Linked DNA regions of Xenopus tropicalis. The protein of the gene in region 1 purifies or fractionates together with the protein of each later gene. This does not show direct contact. Links are inferred from orthologs where the notes say so. Each region holds a gene or a part of one and is shown in the gene's direction. Other genes may lie near its edges. The genes, in order: akap11, prkar2b and prkar1a.

Region 1 (10,336 bases):
ATCATTATAACTAATCGGTAATAACCTAGTATGCAAGAGCTTGCCCCTTGGCCACGAGCAAACAGAAATGGCTTTAAACTAAAATAATATTGGTCTATTCTGACTTTTTTCCCAGCTCTTCTAACATTACATTACATTACAGAAGGAAAGAGGTAGGAAGAGAGACCTCTCATTGGGCCCCAGAGGAATAAAAAATGCCCAGTGAGGTGCCGGTGTATTTTGAGATTGCATTATTGTAACCACCATCAGGAACTCTAAAGGATGTCCCTGGGTCTAAAGTTCATAAAAAGATTGTAGTTATGGGGGATTTAGATTTATTTATACCAACTAAATATAAAAGTGCGAGACAAATGGATAGTAAAGGAAGTGCCTATTGCTGTTGTTTAGTAAAAATCCTATGATATCAAATATTCAGATAAATGAGGAATATAAATTTATCATTTGACATATATTGTGTTTTTTTTGCATAATGGATGAACAATATAGACTAAGAGCAACTTTTTAAACATTTTAAATGGTGATAAAATTGTAAATGTAATTTTGATAACTGCTGTCTTCTGGTTTTGGCTCTGGAAACAATGTAGTAGAAGTCAGTTCTCTTCCAGTTCTGTTACAGGAGTCAGAACCAGCAGTGCAGGGTATATAAGCAGCAGGACAGATGCAGATTTCAACTGCAATTACATTTACAAATAGCTTTAAAACCACTAAAAATTATTAATTAATGTGTCTTGGAAAGTTACTTGGAACAAACGTTGCTTTCCCTATGCAAAAAAAAAAAAAAAAAACAATGTTTGGGAAGAGATCCCTTTAAATGGGCCATATTTTAATATATGTTGTAGCTGATTAAAATAAAGGATCTTCAATTTCTTAAAGCTGTACAGAGAAGCTTGGTACCAGGCAAACCTCCCAGCATGGAGATGACTTGGCTTGCAGATAATTTTGCTTTGCCTACAATGCATTTCCTTTCTTACCCCCCCCCCCGTGTCTTTTCAGAAAGAACTATTTCTGCTATAGAAATCAAATGCTAAAAAGGTTCTGTAACCCCTATTTGGTGGTAAAACAGTCAAGCACCAGCCAGAATAGGTTAGGGCATGGGGTACATGCAACTCTCTTAGACAGGATGGACCTTTGCTAAATGGAAGTATCATGGGGTGTAGTGGAACTACAACTCACTGTAGTTGTGTGCAGTGCAAATTAGCAAAAATGGACGCCAGAAGGTTCTTGATGGTGAACAAATAATAACTGTGTTTATTGTCAGAGACAAATAATAATGCAGGGTTAGCTCAGACACTCACAATGCAGATGGTATAGCTATAGTACCCTGTGAGGACAACAAGAAAGGATGCCACCGGTTTATCCCACCTCTTTGGGAGACTGGGCAGGGTAAAGCACCTCTATGAAAGCACAGCTCGGCACCTCTAGGAAAGCAGTCTGGATAAATACCTCAGTCCTCAGGTTGAATACCTTTAGCTTTAAGAAACTTACAACCGACTGTGGATCAGGGTTTAGGTACTGCCTGTATCCTGTGTCTTAACCATGGCCCTATGTTAAGGCAACAGTGTCTGTATAAAAAGGTACTTCCAGCTACTTTCCTGGTTGGAGCCCAAAGCTGCTCTTGCTTCCTTCAGCTAACTATCTCACTTTCCTAGAAAGAGCTCAACAGAGTATAACTATATAACTTGTCCTCATTCACGGGGTCCCTGTCCCCGACTTCTCTAGAGTATAGATGGATACTCTAGGGTAGGACTGGCATTACTGGGGCCCTATTGATCCCAGGCTCAATGGACCTTCCACCTGAGGCAGCCAAAGATGAAGACCCACCCCTTTGCTAAACACTACATTGGAGTGCAAGGGGTAAAGTCAATCTATAAATGTGGATTTAGAACTCTGCAACAAAGCAAGGCAGGGCAGGTGTAATAGCTAAACAAGGTCAGCACTGGAAAAAAAGACAAAATGGGCTCAAATACTGAAATCCAAGTTTTCATGGCCAAGGAATGGATATTTAAAGTACACGACATATATCTATTTGAGAAGTATAAATCAAGCAATGAGAATCAAGTTCAGCAAGATTAATTTGCTCAAAACTGATGTTTCTCTTTCTCCTCAAAATATTCTGTATGTTTTCCCATCAGTTTCTCCTCATTGTTTCACACAACATGTTTCTTTATCTTTGTTTTATATTCTCACACAGCAGGTTTCTTTATACTTTGTTTTTGCCTCAAATAACAGATAGCTTTAGCCTTTTAGTGGTCAGGCTACTGCATCCCATTCCTGTCTCTTCTCACTTTCCATACAGACGACAACAAGAGGTCCTCTGCACTCACCCATTATCAATATATACAGGACATTAAGGAACTCTGTGCATAAAGCTACCAAGAAATGCCCTCCCCTTTAGGCAAAACAGGGATTATTTGTCCATATATTGCAATATACTTCAAGCTGGCCAACTATGTCAGTCATCCCCAGTCTGGCCAGTCCTACACTCACTTTCATTTGACCCACCAAGAATTTCACTGCTTCTCACTTTCCAACCATCATGGTCAGCTACTTTATTATGGAATTGGCGCTCTTCTTCCACCTTATTCCTGGACAAACCAGACCAACTGGTGCTTGGAACATTCATTGGTGGGGACGCATGGTCTGAAGCCATCAGGGGACCACTCTTTACCAAATGCTTCCAGCTGTGATCCCAACTGGTGGGGTACCTGCCACGGAACTAACCACAACTGACTTCTTGGGGCACTACATTGCCAATTCTTCTTTATAATACGGAATATAATTGCTTTTGTTCTGTCCCCAGGGGCATATAATCTATTTAGGCATTTAAGGGCACATGCTTAGGGCAGCAGCTGTAGGAGTGCTGTACTCAGTGCCTATACGTAACAAAGAGGTTTTCCTGTCTTTTTTTCCGGTTTTTAAAAACCCACTATTTGCCACAGGACAATGGCTGCTAAATCCAGCTGCAGAGTTGTGGGGGAGGTGTGGGTACCCCCCACCTAGCTGAATGGCACAAAGACATTCCTGCAAATGTGCTGATCAGTTAGGGGGTGGTTGGAGGGATGTATATGTTAAAGAATTAAGGGACCCTAATTATATCATAGTAGATTATTAGCATATCAATTCTGTGGCAACTGTCCTGAGTGGTTTTCTAGAAACAATGTGGTAAAGGCAGTGGCACAATTGCAAAATGTGCACCATCACAGCTAGCTCTCTTATGTATTAGTAAGGGTGAAGACACACAGAGCTATTAGTAGGAGCTACTTGTCATGTCTACTAAAATAGATTATACTAATAATTTACTGATAATTGTCTCTACATATATTTTAGCAGAGGCAATTCTCAGTATTGTCTATGGCAGGGGATTTTCTGGCGTTTAGTAGCCGAGACAAGTAGCTCCATGTGTCTTCACCCTAAAGCTAGCCTTTGCACTACTCCCCTGTAACAGAACGGCACACTTTGTATCTCCCCACAGGCCACTGTAATAGAATGTGATGGAGGAGCACAGCTGTAACGAGAGCAGTGATACAAGAGAGGAGTGATCATACAGGATAGTGACCATACTGAACCTGGCTTCAGTCTTGCACACACGTCTGCTGCCATTGTCACAGTCCAGATGCCAGTCTGGGGCACAGTGTGAGCCAAGGAACAAGCTGAGCATCACTGGCCACTAAGGATTAAGTATTCATTTGGTTTGTATGGGCCCAGTACTTCCCTACACCCACAGCAGGTGCTTCTGTGATCTCTGTCTCTATCTGGGTAAAGGCCAAATCATAGGTATAGAATAATGAAGATATTGTGAATTGTACTGGACCTTGCAATAAGCAGTGTAGCTTCAATCCCACTGTTTCACAAGTAGCAGACATCTCTAAACAGAACAAGTTAGGGTTATCACCATTTTTTTTAAAAAATAATGGCCTTCCCATATTTCTGTCTTTCCTCCCTATTAATAACATTGGCATTGCGCATCATTTTTACCAGACAGGCCATTATATACCGGCAGTGCAATGTTGGTTCCCAGTGTGATGGCAATCAGAGTTTAGGGCACTAGAACATGATGTAAGCACATGGGAATGGGTTAAATTAATGTGCAGAGTTGTAAAATATAAAAAGTAATACACATAACGCCATCAAAAATCCTTTAAACTCTACCCTTATAATGCCACCAGTTGCTCAGAGATGTAATTTCACATGTCACATGACTGTTTCCTTGTGTATTATAACAGATAATATATCCCCTGGTTTTGCAAAATATAAGGATATTAGACATTTCTGGAGAGTTCCATGACCTGTATAAAAACATTTGTTTGGCCATTGAACTCCCCAGAGCCTTCTAATACCCTTATAGTTTACAACTGGGATATTTCATTCCCTATATTTTTGTGTGAAACAGAGAAATATTATTATCCCCATGCAGCCATTAATGTGCTTTAATGGCCTTGGAGCCACAGACAGGAATTGTTTACACAGCAGAAAACCTCATTGGCGCTGTACCAGCTATAGGTCCAACTACAGTGAGTGGCTACAGTGAGTGGCTACAGTGAGTGGCTACAGTGAGTGGCTACTGTAAGTCTCAGCGCCATACATGCACTTGCCGGCTATGACGTCAGTGCCAGCCATTCCTATTGCCAACCAACGCGCCGTCAGGGAAGCGCAGTGAGATGACGCAGGAGAAACGTCAGCAGCGAGTAGCAGCAGCACAACACTCCCTCAGCTGCCCAGCTAAGCTTCCCAGGGTCCGGGGCCCGGAATCTGCCAATGATGCTGCCACTTGGTTTATTGCGATGAAAGCGCTGCAGGAATAACCGATCTACGGGCCGCAGTTGCTGCAGCGCTTCTGTGCACCTTGTGGCGTTGGGGGCCTGCGTATGACCGGATGATAGGTAATGATAATGGCTGTCAGCTGCTCTGTGTGCCTGTCATTCACACCATTCGCAACATAGCACTGCAGAATCTCCATGGCTTGCCTGCGCTTCTGTTGCTGCTCTGTCAGACATAGGCTACTGGGAGTTGTAGTTGCACACAGACAGTATGGCATTCTTGCTTAAAGTAATCCGCTGATTAGCATGCTTAATCCTTTTATTGCTGCTAGTTATGATTTGCCTCCAGGTACAGTGATCCTGGGAGTGTGGCACCTTGTTTACTTTTGGGCTCTGAGTGGCCTGTGACTCAAATACTGGTACTGCTTTGTGCTATTGGGGCGGATAAAACATGAAAAGTAACCACTGGTTCCAACCTCTGTCACTGCACTTCCTCAATACAAAGTCATAGCTGTAAGTTTCTATATGAATCAGCTGTCTGAGTCCCAGAGTAGGGGGACCAGATAACCAGAAAATTCAGGGCCTAGAATTTTCCTTAATACTTGTCATAGTATTCTCCTGGGGTAGCAGGTTGTGCTACTGTGTTCTAGTCTGAAAAGTAAAAAACATAAAGAAATTGACACTCATGATGACATTTGTGGGAGTGAGCAACTCCATTACATTGTGACCATTGGCTCAGGGATAAATGGCATGGGCCAAATCAGACAAATATTTGGTTGTCTGAATACTTTACCAAACAATGATCTTTATTCCCTTCTGTTCCTTCCAGTACAGATGGACAGGATTTTGCCAGTTTAGTCAAAATATGTCCCATTAACAACAAAAACAAAATCTACCCTTTCATCCCTTGGAAAGTTTATCACATAAGGTGAGCCAAGTTGCCTTGTTTACCTTCACCCTGATGATTATGGCACATGTGATATTGTTTGGTGCCAGGCATATAGTCTTATTGGAAGCACCTTCCTGCTGTTTTTGCCTTTGGAATCCTTTGTCATGGCAGTCTCTTTGTTACCTGTGGTGGGTTTGATACTGTGGGTTCCTTGTCTTGTCTCCTTCTTAAGGTTTCTGACTCGGGGAATGGGGACTACCAGACGCATTCCTGTACATGGGTGCATTTGGGAGATAGGTACTCACATACATAATGCTGTGGAATCTTCCCAAATGTAGTTAGTTCAAGAGCTGCAGATAAGACTATGGGGCTGTTCATCTTCAGGTCTGTGAAAACCCAACACCCATCTTTTCCTAGAAAGTATGAAATTGTCCTTTCGGTTTGTAGCCCATAGCAATTTCCAGACAATCAGATTTCATCATTTTGGAGCAGTTTGATTGGTTGCTGTACAGCAAATATGTTAGTATGTGGTTTTTTTAAAGCTTTAAAATTTATGGATGGGATGCTGCCAGAAGAACTATGCAGTTATCTAGCAGATACACAAACAATAGTCTTTGGTTCCAAAATAAGACATGTTATTTGAATGCAAAGGCAGAAGAATAATTGTTCTGAAAGGAGGTATATATATGGTGGTATATATGCATTTCCATGGCTCTCTAATTCTGATAATGGGCTGCAGTCAAACAGGTTTGATTTCATTGTATTTAAAATACTAAATGGCTTAATACCTCACTGCTTGTTAAGGGTAGTGCCACATGGGGCTTGCGTATAAACATAGGCAGAGAATCCACCGGTCTCTGCTCATTCATGTGTCTGAACTCATAGGCACTGCGTTGGCCTGGGTGCAGACACACAAAGCAGATTTCGGTGTAAAACTACATATGTTTTCCCGGAATTCCCTCTGGCACTGTTCCCTTTAAGCTGTGTACTCATGCACGTGCACACAAATCAATACATTTTGAGTATATTATTCTGATATTTGTACACCAGTTTTTCAAAAGTGAGCACAAAGAAACTTTTTGTGCACAGAACCAAGAAATTAGAGGGAACATCCATGTGTCTGCACCCAGGCTATTGCAGTTACAGTGAGTGCAGAGGCCTGAGGATTGGCTGATTCTCTCCTCGTGTTTTTACACAGACTGAGAATGAGCCCCATGTGGCACTACCCTAAGCAGGAATTTAATTTATTACTTGATTTGAGCAGGGTTGTGGAGTCGGTACATAAATCCTTCAACTCCTACTCCTTAGTTTATGGTACATTCAACTCGACTCCGACTCCTCCGATTCCTTCACTTTAAATACACTAATGTATTTTCTATGTTGACCAAATAGAACACAACATACAAAGCATTTCATCACTGCCAAAACTCAGCAGTTGTAAAGCTAGATGAAGATGGTGTCTGCTTTTGGGAACAAACCAAAGAACTACTTGCTAGGCAACTGACGCATTATCCTATTGGCCATACAAGCCTTTCACAGCCAACATGAATGAGGATACTGTTGAAGTTTGGGTCTAAATCTATAACTAAGCTAAGCCTATGTCCTTGTGGCTTTTTATCATTTAAATAAACTACAAACATCCCTAAAATCTAAAGTTTAAACAAAAGACAAAAAATGAAAACAATAAGATTCTAATAGCTTCCCTGGACATCAGACTAGTGAAACAACACCACACTGGCCTTTATTCTTACAGTACCTCTTACAGAAGTACTTTATTATGACTTATCTGTGAAATAGAATATTGTAACAAACCTTAACAGCAGTCAGAGTCGGCACATTTGTGCTGACTCAAACTTTAGGTACCCATAATTGCTTCCAACTCTCGACTCCACAGCTGAGGACTCATAGGAGCAAACAACATTTGATCCACTGATTACTGTAGGGGTGTTGCTCTTGTTCATTCCCACAAAGCAATCTGAAAGAGATAGGATGTCTTATTTTAAGGAAGAATGAAAAAATGCCAAGTTTGTAATTCTCACGTGTCAAACACAAGGCCCGCGGGCCAAATCCGACCACCTGGCTGTTTCATGTGGCCCATTGTGACTGCCTGACCGTGCAGCTGACCTATTGCCTGACTGTGCCGCTCCTGTCCCAGTGGCGATGTTACTGTGCCTGATCATGCTGCGTGACCAATTGCCTGAATGCGCCACTCAAAGCAGCCGCTTTCATTCTGCCTTGCATGGTGCGGAATAACATAATACGCACCACACACCCTGCAGGGCAGAACATAAGAGCAGCCGCTTGGAGCACAGTCACCACAGGCCACATAATGAGCCTCTGCTCGTCCGTGGCCTAGATTGGCCAGGCTATTGTCCACGGCTCCCATCCGGTCCTGGCTTGTCTATGTGCCACTGGCAACGGCACCCAGCACTAGGCACAGCTGTGCCAGAGTAGAAAGATTCTAGCCAGAAAACAAATAGATGAGCAATTTTAAAACCTAAATTTCAAATATAGAATTATAGATAAATGTATTAAAAACTGTTGAGTTTGTAATTTAACTGTTTTGCTTACAGTTTGCCTTGTGCTTGTTGTTTTTTTCAAAACATGATTAATGTACGAGGATGGCATGTGATATTGTGTTTCAGGGTGAGGAAAGATCTATCCTTAACTTAGGCTAAGGGGCCGATTTATCAAAAGAGTTTAGAGCTTAATACATAAAAACGCATCCCTGTTCTGTTCATTTCTATAGGATTTTTAGAAGTGTATTTATCAATGGGTGAAAGTTATGATTTGAATGAATAGACCATTGGTTAGTTTTTATGATTAAGCTCTAAACTCACATTTTAATAAATCTGCCCCTTAGTATCTAAATAAAAAATTAGGCCCACGGCCCCCTTATGTGATTGAGTTTGACACCCCTGTTATAGTGATATTTCCTATCTGTGCCACCCTCCAAATTGTTCTGTTGTGCATCTATAAATGGAGCGTTGGTTACATCTCAAGGTTTGCTACAATAGATAGTTTTGGCCATCTCTAGAAAGGAAACAATGATGCAAGGCTGTGTTGTTACCCATGCGTGGCCAGATGTTAGTGGCGTGAAACCCTGCATGTTCCAGCATATAAACCAGAGTTAAGGTATGCTAAGCATGGTTGTGTATACACTGCAAGGGCAAATCTACACGTAGATCTAATGTAATTTTCATAAAATCTGGGAAAACAAGTTAAGATATAAGTATATTTTTTTGTTTTACATATCTATGCTGAGCGCTCCCTTGATTCTCATTAACTCATTTATTGTTAACCCCAGGCATTATGAGGATTGCAATTCAGAAGTAGCAGAAATCCATTGGTTAAAGATCCATCATAACCAGCCTGATTTTTATGAGCAGAATATACATGTACAGACACTGTTATAGAAAAAGTCCACAGATGATGCCTTTATAATACATATATACAGATTTACCCTACTGACTTTAGTAAATTTTGAAGCCCCAGTGTTCTGCACCTTCTGGGCTCTTTGCATACCGAGTAGTTAAGCATAAAACTAAAAGTGCTGCTTATATAGAACTGATCTGCAGGGCAAAGTGCAGATGTTTGTAACTGTCAGAGTCACTTTAAGTATCTACCTTTGTTATTTATACAGTAAACCCCATATACAATAAAAGGCACAAAGTTTGCCCAGTGCAGTAACCCATAGCGACCAATAACACGTTTGCTTAAAAACAGGTGACTAATAAAGGCTACCTGCTGATTGTTTGCTATGGGTTTCTGCAGCTGGGCAAACTTAGGGCCCTTTATTATATAACTCCATAAATATAGTAAAAACGATTAGCTTTTGATTGTGACTAAAAAGTAAATAAATTGCAAAGCTTGCTTGGGCAAATATGTACCAAATTTGTGGTTTATTGGTAATTGGAATTCATCACTTGTTTTGTTTTCAAGTTTTCGAGTTTTATTGTCATATACAAATAACAATGAAGCATCATTAGTGTAATGAAATTTTTTTGACCCGTGTTCCTCCCAACTTTACATAGACAAAAAAAAAAAAAAAGCTTTTACTGATGATTCCAATGAGAATTTGATCCCCAACCTTTTTTATTTGTGAGCCACACTCAGATGTAAATAGTGTTAGTGAGCGACACAAGCATGAAAAATGTTCTGTTTGGATGCCAAATAAGTAGCGAGGATTGAATTCTTTTGTGTGAGGAAAAAGTTGCAGTTGCATTAAAAAAAGTTGCAGGCTTCAGAAAAAAATCATGGGGTGGCCGCATTTTGCAAATGTTTCAGCAGTTTTGCAAATTTTTCTGCGAAACAAGACAGATTCGCTCATAGCTACAAATAAGGACTGTGCAGGAAGCTCTGCTGGGAGTAAAACTGTATCTGTGTGCTTCCAAAACGTAGGCACCCCCCAGTGTTTGTAATCGCTTACCTGTTACCCCAGCCGGTGCAGTTTTCTCCTAACAGGTGCACCAGTAATTACACTGGGGGGGGGAGTGCCTAACATTTTGGTACCCCCCAGTGATTGTACTTTACCTTCTCCTTTAAAAAAAAAAAAAAGGTAAAAGTGTCAGAGGAGGAACAATGTAGAATGCTTTCTGTGGCAGGCAGAGGAAATGCCATTGGATAAAGAAGTCATTATAGAATGTAAGAAGCACAACACATGGAAACCTACAAGTTCTCAGATGAAAAA
Region 2 (10,471 bases), on another chromosome or scaffold:
TTCAGTGTGGTGTTACAATGAATGAATGAAGTAAATAGACTGTGACTTCAGTCCAGGCAAAATACTGTATTGAAAATATAGGCCTACAGCCCCTTATTACATGATGCATCAGATCACCTTTATTAGGTTTTAGATAATAAAACCATAGCCATCTATGGACACTGATCAGGGCTGTTTTTAAAACTCACTAGCATTTTTATTAGGCATGTACAACTTGCAGCTGTTCGACGACTGTTGAACTACATATCATTGTGTCCTAAAGAAAAAACATAATGGGGAAAATTCTTTAGAGCATTTACCCCCCCAAAAATAACATATGTGGGATATTAGCATGGAGTAGGTGACGTAGATAATAAGATGAAAAAGTGACTGCTTAGGCATTATAATGGCACTTTGCCAGCATGGACCTATCAAAATTTCTCTTAGCAACATTTCATTCTTGTGTTCTTGACAAATTAATGTTCTCTGATGCATTTTGACCAATGCAACGAGAATTTTCACCAATGTGAAGTAAATAAGCCAAAACTTGTTGCTCTCTCCTATTAGTAAATTGGTGATTTTGTGGTGAATTTTTATTATAGTGTTCTCCCTTTAGTAAATATGCCCCATGATTTTTGTTTAAGTAAAGTGAAATAATATTTCTGCATTGTCCAATGTAAAATTATCTCTATCTCAGAAAGGCATTGATGTGGCAAAACTTTTCAGAAGAAGAGGTAAACCTGCAGCTCCACGCGGAGGTGCAGGCTAGTGGCAAGATCATTTACAATGGGGAAATGTAGCAAGGCCTGAATGAACCACCAACAAATATATGTTCTTGTTGTTCTAAAAATGCTTGAACACACATGTATACTGCTGAAGCATTTTATCTGAACTGCATCATGGCTCTTAAATTTATTTTACAATATTCTGCCCTGGCCACACTCGGCAATTATTGAACTTTTTACCAGCCTGTGTCCAATGTTCCCTCTAATTTCTTCTAGACTTTTTTCCGAAGAAAATTTTTTTTTTTTTTTGTGTGTGCAGACTATTTAAACAAGTATGTGCACAGGTCAGGATATGTACAAAATAATGTGTTTTTGACACAAAATCTTTGTGCCTATTACAACTTCTGTGTGCTGCTGTCAAAATTTGAGCAAGCTCCAAAATGCAAAGTTTAGAGGGAACATTCCCTATATTTCCTGTTGGTCTACATGTGCCAGGTCTTTCTGGGGTTTGTGAATTGAAACTGGTCTTGGCAAAAACAGAGAAACAAACAAGCAATGTGTGAGTTTGAAGGTGGGCAGGTAGAAAAGGATGTAGTGTAGCACAGATTTACAAATCTGAACATAATGATGTTTTATTAGGCTAGTAGAATGAACAGCCGTACTGATTTTCAAATCAGGAATATTGGTCATCTGAGCATGTACAGTAAGTTTATCTATGTCAAGACAAATGCACTGCACATTCTTCATCAGGGCTGGAACTAGGGCTAGGCAGAAGAGGCACCTACCTAGGGCGCAACAGTGAGGGGGCACTAGGCCAACCCCTAGTCTAGGATCTTTTACCCCCACCATTGATTTCCTTTGCTCCCCCACAACGCTGCCATCTTCTTTCTTCTCTTCCGGGTTCCTGGAACGCCACCCCTGCAATAAAAAAAAAAAGCATACCTTTCCACCAATTGGCGACGGGTCCTGTGCTGCCCTTTCTTGCTTCACTGCGCGAAAACGTCATCACGCACACATCGGCGCTCAGGAACAGAGACAGTCGGGTTTGTCTCACAGTCGTGTCCAGGATTTAAGAAGCGTTTATTTAAAAAACAAGCGATTTCCGGAGAAAACGGTCAACATGAGTAGTAGGTACTTTTGGAATCATATAATGAAATGTATTATTTTGCTGTCAGTATCACTTTAACATTTTTGAAATGCAGTCTGCAGAATAGGCATTTTACAGTTAAATAATATTTCACTTATCAAGTTATGTTTTACATTAGCACTATGAAGGTACAAAACTGCAAAGCTTCTAAAAGGTGTACAGAATACCAATGACTTCTGCCTCAACAAAGGATGGATTCAGGGCTTATGTTTTTAAATCCTTCCAGTGTTCAAAAGAAATTAATTCTTTATGATGTGCTAGAATAATTATGTTGTTGTTAGCATTTTCCATTGCTGTCATTTTTGTTTCAGATATTTCTTTAATCCTTTTAAAGAGAGAAATGGATTAAGGCACACATAGATTTGAAGCCAACCACATACAGTTCCATTGCGACACAATCCAATCATTTACAGGTGGGTAATCATATTATTCCTAACCAGTCAATTGTGGAACCAATTGTGCGCAGTTTCATTTAAAAAAAATATTAGGATCATAATACGGAATGTTGTTGCTACAATGATTCCATACAATGATGCATACATATATATATATGTATATAGTTTTATGCTCCAAGATGCAACCACATTTTGGTGCAAGTTACATACCTGCCATACTATTTCATTCATCTTGCCCCAGTTATATTTATTACTAGTTACTGTCAGTGACTCTCTCTGATACCCTCTTCCTTTGTAAACTTGTCCCCCTCCTTCCAACTACCAATGCCCTGGTTGTCCCAACTTTCTATATGCATCCACCCATATAATTCAACACCTGCATGCGTGATTTATTTGGTGGGCCCTTAAAACTGAAGAAACTGAATTTTGTACTGAAAAATATTTTTGTGTACATTTTTATACATGTCTCTTTGTCTTTTTTATTTCTACTTTTGTATGCCATGTATTTTTACAATACATTGCTAGAAATGTACAATACAATAAATATACTGTATATGCTTCACAAGTGTAAAAAGGACAGTTGGGGTGGGCAAGGTTCAGACACAAAAAGGATGTGAATCTGAAGAGGCCTTATGTAAGAACTGAATAATTCTAGAAACACAGGTTAAAGAGGTTGTTGACCTTTAAGTTGACCTTTAAGTTATCTTTTGGTATATTATAGAATAATATAAAATAGCTTTTTTAATCAGTTGTTTTTATAGATTTATAATTGTTTGTCTTTCTCTTCTGTCTCTTTCCAGCATTTAAATGGAATGCTGCAATTTTTTGTTACTTTTTATTAAGGCCCTCTACTGCTTATCTGCCAATCTCTCATTCAAAACAATGAATACCCTGTCTGTTTTTAAACAGGCAACCAGAAAATGCTACCTGCTGATTGGTTGCTATAGGTGATTAGACCAGTAGCAAAATTTTCACAAGGGCATGCATGAGTATGTTAAAGACCTATGGTTGTATCTTGGCAATATGTTGAACTGATTGTGATGTTGTGTGACTAGGGAGTGAAAGGGTACAGTAAATAAATTCCCAAAGATATCATGTCAAAATAGTGAGGACTTTTTTTCTTTCATTAATAATTTATTTGACTTCATATTCTGCCTCTGTCCAACATGTGATTTATAGCACTACTTGGGTTTTAGGGTCAGTAACCAGAAAACAGAATGTGAAGCTATATTATTACAATTATGTTTCTATTTATCTTTCCTCTATTAGGGCTTTTACATACAAGCATTTTTTACTATGTTTCCCTGCGCTGGATCATTCATACATTCCAGCACAGGGAAACACAGGAAGAATCGCAGCCTACTCGTTTGTGCTCACTGAAATGCAAGGGCAGACCGCAGGTAGAACGCATCAATCTTTCTGGCTGGTGCTTGAAGCTAGCCTGAAGTTAATAGAGAGGTAAACACAAGAAACTTAGGTGTTAAATCAGACAAGTGCAGTGGCCTATACCAACATACAGCAATTAGCTTTTTAGTCAATTAAAAGTTAGAAAATAATAGCAAAGATCTGTTTGGTTGCTATAAGTAACTGCACTGAGGAAATGTAGCACATCTGGTAAATCAGTTGCAATAGCTTCTTTGTGCCTGAGACCAACAGAATGATTTTTCATTTGTCAGTAAAACATTTGTACGGCCTTCTGGCTGTTCACCCTTTTGTTGTGATGGTTAGGCCAGGCAATAGCTATCATGGCTATGATGAGGGCATTCATTTCAGTACCTAATGCCATAATCCACCTACTGGCAAACACCAGCCAGAGAGATTGTGCAGCTATCACTGCAAACCTGCACTTGATAAACAAATAGAACTATTGCTCCAGCTAATGAATAATAATCTTTACTGTATAGAACTGATGGTTTGGTAAGTACTACCATCTATTCTTGACAATATTTGTCCATATGGTGATCATTTTTTACATTATACTCAACAGTTAAGCAGTTTTTCCTTTAAAAGATTATTTAGGGAAAATGCGGCTTTAGAGAATTAATGTTACAGGGATACTGTCATGATTTTTATGGTATACTTTTTATTTCCAGATTACATTATTTACATAGCAAATAATTCACTCTACCATTTAAAATGTTATTCTTGAACCAACAAATGTATTTTTTTGTTTTAATATTGGTGTGTAGGCAGCAATCTCAGTGCACTGTGCCTGAGTCTGAGCTTTCAGAAGAAGACAGGGCTACACATTAGAACTGTAACTGGAGGAGTCCCAAGATGCACTTGGATTTCCTACTACTGAGTGCTATTCTGATATCTAGTGGGAGCTTCTGTCTTGCTACCTTCTACTGATTGGCTGCTGGGAGGGGGGGGGGTCATATCACTCCAATTGCAGCTCAGCAGTAAAGTGTGACTAAAGTTTTTCAGAGCACAGGTCACATGGTTGTGGAACCCTGGGAAATGAAGAATATGGCTAGCCCCATGTGAAATTTCAAAATGAAATTTAAAAAAACCTGAGTTTATAAAAAAATGGATTTAAATGCAGGGTTTTTCTGGTGAAGAAAACACCTGTTTCCCATGACAGTATTCCTAAAAAAGCCAAGGAAATCCTGAAAATGTGATCTAAAATATGCAGATTTTTATTGTATAGTTGGAAAATGTGTATTTTTATGTGTGGATTTAACTTAATATATTGGCTGCTTTACAAACTACTGGCTAGTAGTACTGGCTAGATTGAGGCTAATAAAGATATACTTTCCAGGACAGTACAAAAATAGATTTTCAAGCAAATATATATATATATTTATAAATAATTAAAAGCTGGTCATACAGAGACAACATATTCGTTGTAAGAAAATGGGGATACCAGTAGGAAAAATCAAAGGAAAGCGAGGGCCTTTCTAGTGAAGACAATTAGAGCCTTATAGTGTAGTATAAATAAAACAGACTGCTGCTGATAGTCTGCCATCTCTGAGCCCTTAACCCACTTTCATTCTTTGCTGAAATCGGAGTCCCCTTCGGCCACATTGGTCGTTTTCTGCGCAGCATCCCCGCCAGTCTGTATCCGCACCTGCTCCACACGCAATGCTTGAGATGGAGGGTTGCCATGGTTTCCGGTGGTCACATGCACGCTGCTGGCTCCCATTTGATTGACAGGCGGCTGCGGGCGGGAGGCGGAGGATGCAGCACTTTGTATGCTCAGTTGTATTTGGTCTGCGCCTTGTGTGAGCTTGGGGGCCTGTTAATCCGGGAGAAGTGACAAGGACAACACAACAGCTTCACCATCTTCCCCGGAAACGATAAGGGTTCGCAGCGCAGCCTAAGCGTGCCTCTCATACCCTTATTGCCGCCGACTGCGGTGTCGCCACAAGTGAGAGCCTGGGGAGAGCCAGAGCCACAGCGTGGAAGAGGGATTCATCATCATCGCTGTAATTAAAAAGAAATCTTTTAAACCAGTGCCCACTTGCATGTTTGTATTGTCGGGCAGGGACCCGGTGCCTCAGGCCGCTGGACCTCGTACACCCTGCTGCCCTATGATCACTGCCTAATTGCCCCCCCCTCTTTAGCGTGTCATGTGGGCTCGCCTAACTTTCCTGTCACTTAAACCCCATCACCTGCTTGAATGTTAATAATGCCAGTTCATACGGATGAGCAGCGCCTTTTATTCTCATGTCGGTACCCCTGCATTATGCTCTATGAGTAGCATGGTACCCCATAGTAGCCAGCTCCCTGTGCCTACTGGCAGCCAATAGAGATCTCCCAGTGACATACTGCTGCTGTGCACCAAATCCAGCTTCCTGCCCCGCTACCCCAGGAATGAGTATAGAAATCCCGGAGGGGCTGACGGAGCTACTGCAGAGCTTTACCGTGGAGGTGTTACGAAAACAGCCCGAGGACCTGCTGGAATTCGCCTTGCAGTACTTCACCCAGCTCAAGCAGTCTAAGAGTCAGGGCGGCCCCCTCAGCCATGGCATGGAATTACCTTTCAGGCTCACTAAAGGGGTCATTTTCGCCGAGGAGCCCATGCAGACTGACTCTGAAAACGGCGAGGAGGAGGAGGATGACGATGAAGAGGATTTTGTGGGTATGTGCTAATGAGGAACCCTGCAGTTCAGGTGTCCGTCCTTTTGTCCCTGCCTTCCATATGCAGGGCATAGGTTTTTCCACCCTTTTCTCTCAAGCTGTGACTGAACTAAAATTGCCAGCTGTAAGGGAATTCTCGTGGTGGTGGTTTCCCCACAAAACTCACTCACACCGTATTGTTATTATATGTTTACGTTTTAGGGGACAGAACTAAGGCCACACCATACTGTGTATAAATTACAGAAACAAAACCTATATTTTCTCAGTCATATTTATAAAGATAAGATGCCTCATGGTTAGATATTATTTTATGGTACTATAACAAACACCTAACCTTTTGCTTGATCAGCGACATTTATATGAGATCCACAGTATATACATTCTTTGCCCATCCAGGCAACATCATGAGAATATTAAATAGTGCTCTTGTTATTGTAGTATTACTATAGCTGTCCTTCACCTATTGATGTCTCTACTCTCCCCTCTATTGTCCTAAGACACAGCATTATTAAAAACTGAAATCTATGTCAACTGCTCTGAGAATTAGAACAAAATATGATATTTTTAAAGTTACAGCAAATATTTGTAGTTGCTTAAGGCTAAAGACAGACATGGCAGATAAATGCCAGTGACTTCATAAGGTATTACCTTTTTTGCTGTTTCCTACAATCACATTTACCTGTCGCTGCGCACACAGGTGGGCATCAGATGCTGAGGCTGAAGTCTGCCCCGTGGGTCAGGTGGGTGTAATTGAAGGGAATATCAGGAGAAAAGGGCAGTACAGGCAGGCTTGTGCTTTTCTACCAGAGGAGGACCAATACATGTCATTACCTTAAAGGAATGTATTTTATTCTGCTGCCTTTCAATCATAGGATTTATTTGTCTGTGAAGACCCAGGTAATTGTTTCAATTTCTACTAAGAGTCCCAAAAAATTAAGAAAATGAAAGAGACACATTCATCTTGCGTGTTAGGACAAGGGTACTTTGGGATCCTTGTCAGCCAGTTTCCACCTAAAAAACAGCTAGTGTGCCTTTTCTTACCACAGTAGTCTGACAAACATCAGTCCTTGTGCATTTACCTGATTGCCAATTACTATAAGAGGAATAAGATGGAATTGGCTCTTTAAGAGATATGGGGAGAGGGCCTTGGTATGTCAAGTAGTTCTAGAATGGAGGCCCATAGGAGAGTTTTTATAATGCAGGGTAGCAGGGCTAGAAATAGGAGTAGGCAGAAGAGTTATGTGCCTCTGGCATAGTTAAGAGGTGTGACTAGGTGAGATAGGAGTGGTTGATGGGTGAGGGAGAGCCCAGACAGTGGCAGGGTTGGTGTGCAGAAGAAATTGTGAGTGCAGGACCAAATAGTCTTTCCTTGGGCGTCAATAGGACACTTGCTAAGTTCTAAGAAATAGCTTGGTCCATGTAACTATCAAAACTTTATTACTCTAAATAAAGTGTAAAATGATTTTGTTTATTAATTAAAAAACAACAACAACAAATATGCAGTTTGCAGATGGCACAAAACTATGTAGGCCAATTAATTGTATTCAGGATATGGCATCCTTGTGCATGATATGGGCAATCTGGGTAAGTAAATGGCATATGAAATTTAGTGTTAAATGTAAGTTTATGCGGCTGTGATTTAAAAATTTGTAAGCCATTTATACCTGAAAAGGGACCATATACCCCCATCATTTTAATATGAACTCATTCAGTTGGGCTTATGTTAAAAAGGAGCATAAACACTATCTAAATAAGGATGCATTTTAAACACTTACCTGATTCTACATATTGAAAGAAAACCTTTATAGCCAACCTATATTCAACTGAACCATTTCTTCCCCCCATAGGCTCACATTTTTATACAACCTTTTTCTATTGTGAAGTGATGGATTCTGGGACTTGAAGTGCTTCTGCTTTCAAGAGAATCTGTACATCACCCACTTAGCACAAGGGACAAGAGAGCTGAAGATATACACCAAAGGAAGGAAAAATAAAATATGTTGCCTACGGAAAAGAAAAATGTAAGGGTTTCTGTAACAGTGACCAGTGAGGAGGGCCTACACGAAATATGAAGCATTAAAAGATAAAAAGTGTGAAAGATGGGGTAGCTAGAAAAGAGGAATGGGGAAAAGTGAAGATCATTAAAATGGGTAAGAACAGTGCAAATTATTGTACAGTGGAGAAAATGTGTCTGGGCAAGAAGGCACAAGTGAGAATGTTAAAAGTTGGGGGGAAAAAGAAAAGGTATGTGGGGAACAGGAAGAAAGACTAGTGAAGAGAAGAGAAAGACAGAGGCGCATACCAAGGGGCTGATTTACTAATCCACGAATCCGAATCCCGAATGGGAAAAAACCTGATTGGAAAGGAACATTTTGCGACTTTTTCGTATTTTTTGCTATTTTTTTGTCGCCGTCACGACTTTTCCGTAGCCGTTACGACTTGCGTGAATTGTCGCAACTTTTTCGTAGCCGTTACAACTTGCTCGTATATTGTCGCGACTTTTTCAAATTGAGCGCTCGTAAACGATGATTTTGGAAGCCTTCCATAGGACTCAATGGCACTCTGCAGCTCCAACCTGGCCCAAGGAAAGTCACGATACTGAAGCTTGAATGAATCTGAAACTTTCGTACTCGGCGCGACGGCTACAAAAAAGTCGTGACAATTCGCGCAAGTCGTAATGGCTACGAAAAAGTTGTGGCAATTTACAAAAAGTCGTAATGGCTACGAAAAAGTCGCAACAATTTATGAAAAAATCGCAAAATACCGATCATTACGAAAAAAATGCATTCGGACGCTTTTCGGACGTTCGTGGATTAGTAAATGTGCCCCTAAATGTACTGCATACAAGTAAATGAACAGAAAAAAAAGATCTAAAGTAGGCTTACATTTACTACTGGTAACCAAACTTTGCCTAAGTTTAGCGATGCTTGTTGTACTGTATAGGACCTTAATAAATATTGGAGTTGTTGCCTGTTGTGTCTCAAAAATGGATTAGGTGCATCTTTATAAAGACTTTATTTAACAACGTAGAAATTGATGTACATTTGTCATACAGCTGCATAAGGAGCTATATATAAGTTATTATCACTATAGTAATTGTCTTTTCTTTTTTTTGTGAAAAAATGTGAATTTCTAAAAATTACTTTAATGTTATAAGGCAATGCCTGATAACCCATGGATTTACCTGGCAGGTTCTGGCCGACACACAATTCAGGTCACGGGCAGCTTTGAGTAGAGCTCTTCCTGCCACGACGTGCACCTGCCTCGCCCCTTTTGTGGCATCAGAGATGGGGCGGGCACGGGTATCTAAATAGATGTTGACTCTGGGGGGTGGTCACAGGTATAACTACTACTGATTTTGTCCTGTCCTACTGATAGAGGATACTCTTGTTGTTTTCCATTGGAAAGTTTAAAGGGGTCAGACAGTGGTCAGTTGATTTGGACCCTGATGGACACTATATAAAGCTTTTATCTTACGAATAACCCTACCCAGAAAGCTTCAGTTTACCCCATCAAACACCTTCTCTGCATCAGTGGATAGAAGCAAAAGTGGTGTTTTATGGTGTGGGCATTCTAAAATATTGTAAAAGTGTTGTCCCTTGCTACTCTGCCTGGTACAAATCCCACTTGGTCTTATGAATTTGGCCAACATTTTAGCATATAATACGGTATCACTATAACTATAACGAGCACTGCGGACGGGCTCTGTACCAGTTTCAATATCATTGTTATGGTTACCTGAAGAAAGGGTTTGAAAGGTGGATTATTAGCTGAGACGGAGTAAAGGCTTCTGGCATAACCAGAGAGAGTGATTCCCCAAGTATTTTATATAGTTCTGCAGAACAACTGTTTTTTCCAGCCAGGGTCACATAAATAGCCTGTCGAAGCTCTTGTGAAAGAAAGAGTTGGTCCAATACATCTCTAATGGTGGGGTAAATAAATTGTGAGGGAGTAGTTTCTTTAACATACTCCCTTAGATCATAGTGAGAATAGGTGGTGGGTTTGCTGTGTAAATTGTATAATTTAAGATGGCTGCAGTTGTACTAGTAAGATGTGAGGTAGTGCATTCCAATGTTCGTATGTTTTGTATAAATGTTGACTATCATATCTTTATGCAATTGTACAAAATTTCTGCTTTGGAA
Region 3 (10,389 bases), on another chromosome or scaffold:
GCAGTGGGAGGGACTAAAACACTCTTATGGAGCTTACAGGGGAGGTGCAGGGAGTCAGTTAATCAAGCAGTGGGAGGGACTAGAAAACTTTTGGAAGCTTACAGGGGAGGGACAGAGAGTCTGTTATTCAAATAGTGGGTGGGACTAAAACATTCTGATGGAAGATGTGGGTGGGACTAGAAAACTGATGGAAGCTTACAGGGGAGGAGCAGAGAGTCTGTAATGCAAGCAGTGGGTGGGGCTAGAATACTCTGATGAAAGCTTAAAGGGGAGGGGCAGGGAGTCTGTAACACAAGCAGTGGGTGGGACTAGAACACTCTGATGGAACTTACTGGGGGGGGGGGAGTCTGTAAGAGTAAAATATATTGTATTTCTAATGTATTTGAGAGACAGAGAGCGGAAAGGCTGGGGCAAGAAGCCTAAGGTGTAACTGTATGTAAGTCCCTGTTTGTCCCCCCTATGCCCCCAATCTGGGAAGCCTTCCAACAGAGTGCCCATTGCTAGCACATACCGGAGGGATGTTTATCTGGTTGCCCCCGGCTGACTCTGGCAATGTCAGTAGCCCCAGGCATCGGGGAAGGACTTGTTTCCAAAATAGAAGGCGCGTCAGCTTGTTTGGGGGGAGGAATCTTCCAGCTGAGACTCATTCACAAATAGCTGGGGGGCAGGTAGTCACGGTCCGGTTACCCTGTAACAGAGAGGCAGGAAACTGAGCGGAACAGCTGCGCCCGACAGGCTGATTTATGTTCCCCTTGGGGCTCACTGACTGCCCCTGGCCGGGCGGCCAACACTTTCTGCCCATGTTGCCCCGAGCGCTATACACATTATGAGCGTTATGTTCCCCTGGGGCTCACTGACTGCCCCTGGCCGGGCGGCCAACACTTTCTGCCCACGTTGCCCCCAGCATTATACACATTATGAGCGTTATGTTCCCCTTGGGACTCACTGACTGCCCCTGGCCGGGCGGCCAACACTTTCTGCCCACGTTGCCCCCAGCATTATACACATTATGAGCGTTATGTTCCCCTGGGGCTCACTGACTGCCCCTGGCCGGGCGGCCAACACTTTCTGCCCACGTTGCCCCCAGCATTATACACATTATGAGCGTTATGTTCCCCTTGGGGCTCACTGACTGCCCCTGGCCAGGCGGCCGATATTTTTTGCCCCGAGTGCTATACACATTATGAGCGTTATGTTCCCCTTGGGGCTCACTGACTGCCCCTGGCCGGGCGGCCAATATTTTTTGCCCATGTTGCCCCGAGCGCTATACACATTATGAGCGTTATGTTCCCCTGGGGCTCACTGACTGCCCCTGGCCGGGCGGCCAACACTTTCTGCCCACGTTGCCCCCAGCATTATACACATTATGAGCGTTATGTTCCCCTTGGGACTCACTGACTGCCCCTGGCCGGGCGGCCAACACTTTCTGCCCACGTTGCCCCCAGCATTATACACATTATGAGCGTTATGTTCCCCTTGGGGCTCACTGACTGCCCCTGGCCGGGCGGCCAACACTTTCTGCCCATGTTGCCCCGAGCGCTATACACATTATGAGCGTTATATTCCCCTTGGGGCTCACTGACTGCCCATGGGAGGTGGGATATTGGCCGGGCGGCCAACGCTTTCTGCCCACGTTGCCCTGAGCCGAGGAACCTGGGGCCCCGACTAACACAAAATCCCGACCTTACTCAGCTATTATATGTTATAGAATGGCCTATTCTAAGCAACTTTTCAATTGGTCTTCATTATTTATTTCTTATAGTTCTTGAATTATTTGCCTTCATCTTCTACCTCTTTGCAGCTTTCAAATGGGGGTCACTGACCCCGGCAGCCAAACCCTATTGCTCTGTGAGGCTCCAGTTTTATTGTTACTGTTACTTTTTATAACTTGTTTGTCTATTCAGCCCCTCCCCTATTCATATACCAGTCTCTTATTCAAACCGCTCCCAGGTTGCTAAGGTAATTTGGACCCCAGCAACCTGCAGAGCTGCTGCACCAAAAGTGAAGGTGAACAACCCTTTTAATATGGACTTTAATTACAGAGAGTGATACCCAGAGAGGGACAGATAAGTAATGAACCCCCCAATATACAGATTGGCTCACTTACTTGGCCTTTAAATGTTGCAAGATCCCAGAGAGATTCATGTTCTATCCCTGTTGCCACCGGATATTTATGGGGAAAAATCCAACACAAATATTAAAAAAAATTAACCATTGGGTTGCTATGCCATCATAAAATGCTGTCTTGTTGCTATGGTAAAGCATACACAGCAACCAGAAATCAGACAGAGACTCAGCATGCTTTAACGCCACTCACTGCCAATGGTGCCATCCCATGGGAACTTACTTGGGAAAAACTCATTGGCTTTCCAGGGTATCATGGTGGCATCATTTTTTCTGGATGAAAAAACAAATGTTTGTCAGTGCAGCTGCCATAGTAACGTTTAGTGTAGTGTTACTGTCCCCATCTTGCCCTACTGTCTCCATCTTGCCCTACTGTCTCCCTCTTGCCCTACTGTCTCCCTCTTGTCCTACTGTCTCCCTCTTGCCCTACTGTCTCCATCTTGCCCTACTGTCTCCCTCTTGTCCTACTGTCTCCCTCTTGCCCTACTGTCTCCATCTTGCCCTACTGTCTCCCTCTTGCCCTACTGTCTCCCTCTTGTCCTACTGTCTCCCTCTTGCCCTACTGTCTCCATCTTGCCCTACTGTCTCCCTCTTGCCCTACTGTCTCCCTCTTGTCCTACTGTCTCCCTCTTGCCCTACTGTCTCCATCTTGCCCTACTGTCTCCCTCTTGCCCTACTGTCTCCCTCTTGTCCTACTGTCTCCCTCTTGCCCTACTGTCTCCATCTTGCCCTACTGTCCCCATCTTGTCCTACTGTCTCCATCTTGTCCTACTGTCTCCATCTTGCCCTACTGTCTCCATCTTGTCCTACTGTCTCCATCTTGCCCTACTGTCCCCATCTTGTCCTACTGTCTCCATCTTGCCCTACTGTCCCCATCTTGTCCTACTGTCTCCATCTTGTCCTACTGTCTCCATCTTGTCCTACTGTCTCCATCTTGTCCTACTGTCTCCATCTTGTCCTACTGTCCCCATCTTGCCCTGCTGTCTCCATCTTGCCCTACTGTCCCCATCTTGTCCTACTGTCTCCATCTTGCCTTACTGTCCCCATCTTGCCCTACTGTCTCCATCTTGCCCTACTGTCTCCATCTTGCCTTACTGTCCCCATCTTGCCCTACTGTCTCCATCTTGCCCTACTGTCTCCATCTTGTCCTACTGTCTCCATCTTGCCTTACTGTCCCCATCTTGCCCTACTGTCTCCATCTTGCCCTACTGTCTCCATCTTGCCCTACTGTCTCCATCTTGCCCTACTGTCTCCATCTTGTCCTACTGTCTCCATCTTGCCTTACTGTCCCCATCTTGCCCTACTGTCTCCATCTTGCCCTACTGTCTCCATCTTGCCCTACTGTCTCTATCTTGCCCTACTGTCCCCATCTTGCCCTACTGTCCCCATCATGCCCTACTGTCTCCCTCTTGTCCTACTGTCTCCCTCTTGCCCTACTGTCTCCCTCTTGCCCTACTGTCCCCATCTTGCCCTACTGTCCCCATCTTGCCCTACTGTCTCCATCTTGCCCTACTGTCTCCATCTTGCCCTACTGTTTCCATCTTGCCCTACTGTCTCCATCTTGCCCTACTGTCTCCATCTTGCCCTACTGTCTCCATCTTGCCCTACTGTCTCCATCTTGCCCTACTGTCCCCATCTTGCCCTACTGTCCCCATCTTGCCCTACTGTCTCCATCTTGCCCTACTGTCTCCATCTTGCCCTACTGTCTCCATCTTGCCCTACTGTCCCCATCTTGCCCTACTGTCTCCATCTTGCCCTACTGTCCCCATCTTGCCCTACTGTCTCCATCTTGCCCTACTGTCCCCATCTTGTCCTACTGTCCCCATCTTGTCCTACTGTCTCCATCTTGCCCTACTGTCCCCATCTTGCCCTACTGTCTCCATCTTGCCCTACTGTCCCCATCTTGTCCTACTGTCCCCATCTTGTCCTACTGTCCCCATCTTGTCCTACTGTCCCCATCTTGTCCTACTGTCTCCCTCTTGCCCTACTGTCTCCCTCTTGCCCTACTGTCTCCATCTTACCCTACTGTCCCCATCTTGTCCTACTGTCCCCATCTTGCCCTACTGTCTCCCTCTTGCCCTACTGTCTCCATCTTACCCTACTGTCTCCATCTTGCCCTACTGTCCCCATCTTGCCCTACTGCCTCCATCTTGCCCTACTGTCTCCATCTTGCCCTACTGCCTCCATCTTACCCTACTGCCTCCATCTTGCCCTACTGCCTCCATCTTACCCTACTGTCCCCATCTTGTCCTACTGTCCCCATCTTGCCCTACTGTCTCCCTCTTGCCCTACTGTCTCCATCTTGCCCTACTGTCTCCATCTTGCCCTACTGTCCCCATCTTGCCCTACTGCCCCCATCTTGCCCTACTGTCCCCATCTTGCCCTACTGTCTCCATCTTGCCCTACTGTCTCCATCTTGCCCTACTGTCTCCATCTTGCCCTACTGTCTCCATCTTGCCCTACTGTCCCCATCTTGCCCTACTGTCCCCATCTTGCCCTACTGCCTCCATCTTGCCCTACTGTCCCCATCTTGTCCTACTGCCTCCATCTTGCCCTACTGTCTCCATCTTGCCCTACTGTCTCCCTCTCGGGGGCTCGGCAGGAATAGAGTTAAATAGAGAGAATAGAGAGAGAGGAGGTTAATCCGGCGCTAATCCCCCTCCCAGGAGCCATAAAGCCAATAAAGGTGCCACAGACCCCGCCCCCCCCCACTGACAGGATTAGAGTGCCAGCTCTGCAGTGTGGGACCAGGATACCGGGGAGACTCCCCAATCCCTTGCCCTGCCTGCACCCTTACTCTATTCTGTGTGGGAGGGAACAGGGGGAACAGAGGGAATGGCGGGAAGGAGAGATAACAGGGAGTAAAGGGAAGTAACTAAGAGCGGAAGGGAGTGAGGGGGAGGGGGAGGGGGAGGGGGGAGAGTGAGCCCCCCCCGCACCCCGGTACCGCACTGGCCCGCAGCTCCCCTCTATAGTGACCGTTTCCGGTTGGGGGGGCGGGGTGTAACGGAACATGTGACCCAATTCCCACACACTGCGCCGCTATTACATAGAACAGTTTAACCCATTGCTGGTCTAGGAGTGAGACACAGAGGCCGGCAAGGAAAGAGTTACACACACGCAGCGAGGGGCGTGGCTACACGGAGGCAGAAAGGCGGGGCTAGCGGTTGCCATGGTTCGCGGTTCCTGTCAGACCGATTGACGTCACTGGCGGCCGCTGATTGGCTGGGCGCTGTTTCCGGTGAGGGGAGAGGAAGAGACGGAGCTGGGCCTGAGGCAGCGGGAGAGACTGGGGGACACAGCCGGGAGCCCGGGATACAGAGCGCACACAGCCCGGCATTGGCACCGGTGAGACCAGCCCCGCTACCTGCCCCGCTACCTGCCCCGCTACCTGCCCCCGCTACCTGCCCCTCTCTATCTGCCCCTCTACCTGCCCCTCTACCTGCCCCGCGTTATACCCCCCATACCCTGCCTCACCCTTGTACCTGCCCCGACTCCCTGCTTTATCCCCGGTACCTGCCCCTCCCCTATACCTGCCCCTATTGCCCTGAGCAGCTGCCCTTCAGCAATACCTGCCCCGATCAACTGCCCCTCCCCTCCCTGTGCTCTTTATTTGCTCCCCCCACTCTCCCTGGGAATTGCCCCCAACATTAGCCCTTCCCTGTGTATCTGCCCCATGCTTATTGATTTTATTTGCCCTTATGAACTGCCTCTCCCTTGGCTCCTCCCATTATCCTGTTTGTTTGCCCCTCCCCCTATACCTGCCCTCCTGTAACTGCCTCCTGTCTCTATACCTGTGTAACTGCCCCCAGGGCTCCATTCCCTTATTGCCCCCCCGTATCATTGTGTTGCCCCCAGCCTGTATATACGGGGCTTCATTCCCTTATTGCCCCCCTGTATCATTGTGTTGCCCCCAGCCTAGCGCTACAGCCTGTATATACGGGGGCTCCATTCCCTTATTGCCCCCCTGTATCATTGTGTTGCCCCCAGCCTGTATATACGGGGCTCCATTCCCTTATTGCCCCCCCTGTATCATTGTGTTGCCCCCAGCCTGTATATACGGGGGCTTCATTCCCTTATTGCCCCCCCTGTATCATTGTGTTGCCCCCAGCCTGTATATACGGGGCTTCATTCCCTTATTGCCCCCCCTGTATCATTGTGTTGCCCCCAGCCTGTATATACGGGGCTTCATTCCCTTATTGCCCCCCCTGTATCATTGTGTTGCCCCCAGCCTGTATATACGGGGGCTTCATTCCCTTATTGCCCCCCTGTATCATTGTGTTGCCCCCAGCCTGTATATACGGGGGCTTCATTCCCTTATTGCCCCCCTGTATCATTGTGTTGCCCCCAGCCTGTATATACGGGGCTTCATTCCCTTATTGCCCCCCTGTATCATTGTGTTGCCCCCAGCCTGTATATACGGGGGCTTCATTCCCTTATTGCCCCCCTGTATCATTGTGTTGCCCCCAGCCTGTATATACGGGGCTTCATTCCCTTATTGCCCCCCCCGTATCATTGTGTTGCCCCCAGCCTAGCGCTACAGCCTGTATATACGGGGGCTTCATTCCCTTATTGCCCCCCGTATCATTGTGTTGCCCCCAGCCTAGCGCTACAGCCTGTATATACGGGGCTTCATTCCCTTATTGCCCCCCTGTATCATTGTGTTGCCCCCAGCCTGTATATACGGGGCTTCATTCCCTTATTGCCCCCCTGTATCATTGTGTTGCCCCCAGCCTGTATATACGGGGGCTTCATTCCCTTATTGCCCCCCTGTATCATTGTGTTGCTCCCAGCCTGTATATACGGGGCTCCATTCCCTTATTGCCCCCATATCATTGTGTTGCCCCCAGCCTGTATATACGGGGCTCCATTCCCTTATTGCCCCCCTGTATCACTGTGTTGCCCCCAGCCTGTATATACAGGGGCTCCATTCCCTTATTGCCCCCCTGTATCACTGTGTTGCCCCCAGCCTGTATATACGGGGGCTTCATTCCCTTATTGCCCCCCCGTATCATTGTGTTGCCCCCAGCCTGTATATACAGGGGCTCCATTCCCTTATTGCCCCCCCGTATCATTGTGTTGCCCCCAGCCTGTATATACAGGGGCTCCATTCCCTTATTGCCCCCCTGTATCACTGTGTTGCCCCCAGCCTGTATATACGGGGGCTTCATTTCCTTATTGCCCCCCGTATCATTGTGTTGCCCCCAGCCTAGCGCTACAGCCTGTATATATGGGGGCTTCATTCCCTTATTGCCCCCCCCGTATCATTGTGTTGCCCCCAGCCTAGCGCTACAGCCTGTATATACGGGGGATTCATTCCCTTATTGCCCCCCTCGTATCATTGTGTTGCCCCCAGCCTGTATATACAGGTGCTCCATTCCCTTATTGCCCCCCCGTATCATTGTGTTGCCCCCAGCCTAGCGCTACAGCCTGTATATACGGGGGCTTCATTCCCCTTATTGCCCCCCTGTATCATTGTGTTGCCCCCAGCCTGTATATACGGGGGCTTCATTCCCTTATTGCCCCCCCATATCATTGTGTTGCCCCCAACCTGTATATACAGGGGCTTCATTCCCTTATTGCCCCCAGCCTGTATATACGGGGCTCCGTTCCCTTATTGCCCCCCCTGTGTCATTGTGTTGCCCCCAGCCTGTATATACAGGGGCTTCATTCCCTTATTGCCCCCCGTATCACTGTGTTGCTCCCAGCCTGTATATATGGGGGCTTCATTCCCTTATTGCCCCCCTGTATCATTGTGTTGCCCCCAGCCTGTATATACAGGGGCTTCATTCCCTTATTGCCCCCCATATCATTGTGTTGCCCCCAGCCTGTATATACAGGGGCTTCATTCCCTTATTGCCCCCCATATCATTGTGTTGCCCCCAGCCTAACGCTACAGCCTGTATATACGGGGGCTTATTCCCTTATTGCCCCCCCCGTATCATTGTGTTGCCCCCAGCCTGTATATACGGGGCTCCATTCCCTTATTGCCCCCCCTGTATCATTGTGTTGCCCCCAGCCTGTATATACGGGGGCTTCATTCCCTTATTGCCCCCCCTGTATCATTGTGTTGCCCCCAGCCTGTATATACGGGGCTTCATTCCCTTATTGCCCCCCCTGTATCATTGTGTTGCCCCCAGCCTGTATATACGGGGCTTCATTCCCTTATTGCCCCCCCTGTATCATTGTGTTGCCCCCAGCCTGTATATACGGGGGCTTCATTCCCTTATTGCCCCCCTGTATCATTGTGTTGCCCCCAGCCTGTATATACGGGGGCTTCATTCCCTTATTGCCCCCCTGTATCATTGTGTTGCCCCCAGCCTGTATATACGGGGCTTCATTCCCTTATTGCCCCCCTGTATCATTGTGTTGCCCCCAGCCTGTATATACGGGGGCTTCATTCCCTTATTGCCCCCCTGTATCATTGTGTTGCCCCCAGCCTGTATATACGGGGCTTCATTCCCTTATTGCCCCCCCCGTATCATTGTGTTGCCCCCAGCCTAGCGCTACAGCCTGTATATACGGGGGCTTCATTCCCTTATTGCCCCCGTATCATTGTGTTGCCCCCAGCCTAGCGCTACAGCCTGTATATACGGGGCTTCATTCCCTTATTGCCCCCCTGTATCATTGTGTTGCCCCCAGCCTGTATATACGGGGCTTCATTCCCTTATTGCCCCCCTGTATCATTGTGTTGCCCCCAGCCTGTATATACGGGGGCTTCATTCCCTTATTGCCCCCCTGTATCATTGTGTTGCTCCCAGCCTGTATATACGGGGCTCCATTCCCTTATTGCCCCCATATCATTGTGTTGCCCCCAGCCTGTATATACGGGGCTCCATTCCCTTATTGCCCCCCTGTATCACTGTGTTGCCCCCAGCCTGTATATACAGGGGCTCCATTCCCTTATTGCCCCCCTGTATCACTGTGTTGCCCCAGCCTGTATATACGGGGGCTTCATTCCCTTATTGCCCCCCCGTATCATTGTGTTGCCCCCAGCCTGTATATACAGGGGCTCCATTCCCTTATTGCCCCCCCGTATCATTGTGTTGCCCCCAGCCTGTATATACAGGGGCTCCATTCCCTTATTGCCCCCCTGTATCACTGTGTTGCCCCCAGCCTGTATATACGGGGGCTTCATTTCCTTATTGCCCCCCGTATCATTGTGTTGCCCCCAGCCTAGCGCTACAGCCTGTATATATGGGGGCTTCATTCCCTTATTGCCCCCCCCGTATCATTGTGTTGCCCCCAGCCTAGCGCTACAGCCTGTATATACGGGGGATTCATTCCCTTATTGCCCCCCTCGTATCATTGTGTTTGCCCCCAGCCTGTATATACAGGTGCTCCATTCCCTTATTGCCCCCCCGTATCATTGTGTTGCCCCCAGCCTAGCGCTACAGCCTGTATATACGGGGGCTTCATTCCCTTATTGCCCCCCTGTATCATTGTGTTGCCCCCAGCCTGTATATACGGGGGCTTCATTCCCTTATTGCCCCCCCATATCATTGTGTTGCCCCCAACCTGTATATACAGGGGCTTCATTCCCTTATTGCCCCCAGCCTGTATATACGGGGCTCCGTTCCCTTATTGCCCCCCCTGTGTCATTGTGTTGCCCCCAGCCTGTATATACAGGGGCTTCATTCCCTTATTGCCCCCCGTATCACTGTGTTGCTCCCAGCCTGTATATATGGGGGCTTCATTCCCTTATTGCCCCCCTGTATCATTGTGTTGCCCCCAGCCTGTATATACAGGGGCTTCATTCCCTTATTGCCCCCCATATCATTGTGTTGCCCCCAGCCTGTATATACAGGGGCTTCATTCCCTTATTGCCCCCCATATCATTGTGTTGCCCCCAGCCTAACGCTACAGCCTGTATATACGGGGGCTTATTCCCTTATTGCCCCCCCCGTATCATTGTGTTGCCCCCAGCCTAGCGCTACAGCCTGTATATACGGGGGCTTATTCCCTTATTGCCCCCCGTATGATTGTGTTGCCCCCAGCCTGTATATACGGGGGCTTCATTCCCTTATTGCCCCCCCCGTATCACTGTGTTGCCCCCAGCCTAGCGCTACAGCCTGTATATAGGGGGGCTTATTCCCTTATTGCCCCCCGTATGATTGTGTTGCCCTAACAGTGGTGCTTCTCTCCCGGCAGACATGGCGTCAGGCAGCACCGGGGGGGAGGAGGAGCGCAGCCTGCGCGAGTGTGAGCAGTATGTGCACAAACACAACATCCAGCAGCTGCTGAAGGACTGTATCGTGCAGCTCT

What was found.
Region 2: the proteins of akap11 (region 1) and prkar2b purify together in Homo sapiens (affinity purification with mass spectrometry; 3 studies listed by BioGRID and IntAct, counting the BioPlex papers as one, with this or other methods). This does not show direct contact. The link is inferred for Xenopus tropicalis from reciprocal best matches to the Homo sapiens genes AKAP11 and PRKAR2B.
Region 3: the proteins of akap11 (region 1) and prkar1a purify together in Homo sapiens (affinity purification with mass spectrometry; 3 studies listed by BioGRID and IntAct, counting the BioPlex papers as one, with this or other methods). This does not show direct contact. The link is inferred for Xenopus tropicalis from reciprocal best matches to the Homo sapiens genes AKAP11 and PRKAR1A.

The regions. Positions count from the first base shown.
Region 1 is NC_030678.2:132,780,916-132,791,251, forward strand, and holds the start of akap11 (A-kinase anchor protein 11), read left to right. Parts: upstream 1-4,644; 5' UTR 4,645-4,880; intron 4,881-10,336. UniProt on the Homo sapiens protein: Binds to type II regulatory subunits of protein kinase A and anchors/targets them.
Region 2 is NC_030679.2:76,689,897-76,700,367, reverse strand, and holds the start of prkar2b (cAMP-dependent protein kinase type II-beta regulatory subunit), read left to right. Parts: upstream 1-5,663; 5' UTR 5,664-6,062; coding exon 6,063-6,330; intron 6,331-10,471. UniProt on the Homo sapiens protein: Regulatory subunit of the cAMP-dependent protein kinases involved in cAMP signaling in cells. Type II regulatory chains mediate membrane association by binding to anchoring proteins, including the MAP2 kinase.
Region 3 is NC_030686.2:50,529,411-50,539,799, reverse strand, and holds the start of prkar1a (cAMP-dependent protein kinase type I-alpha regulatory subunit), read left to right. Parts: upstream 1-5,339; 5' UTR 5,340-5,472; intron 5,473-10,275; 5' UTR 10,276-10,277; coding exon 10,278-10,389. UniProt on the Homo sapiens protein: Regulatory subunit of the cAMP-dependent protein kinases involved in cAMP signaling in cells.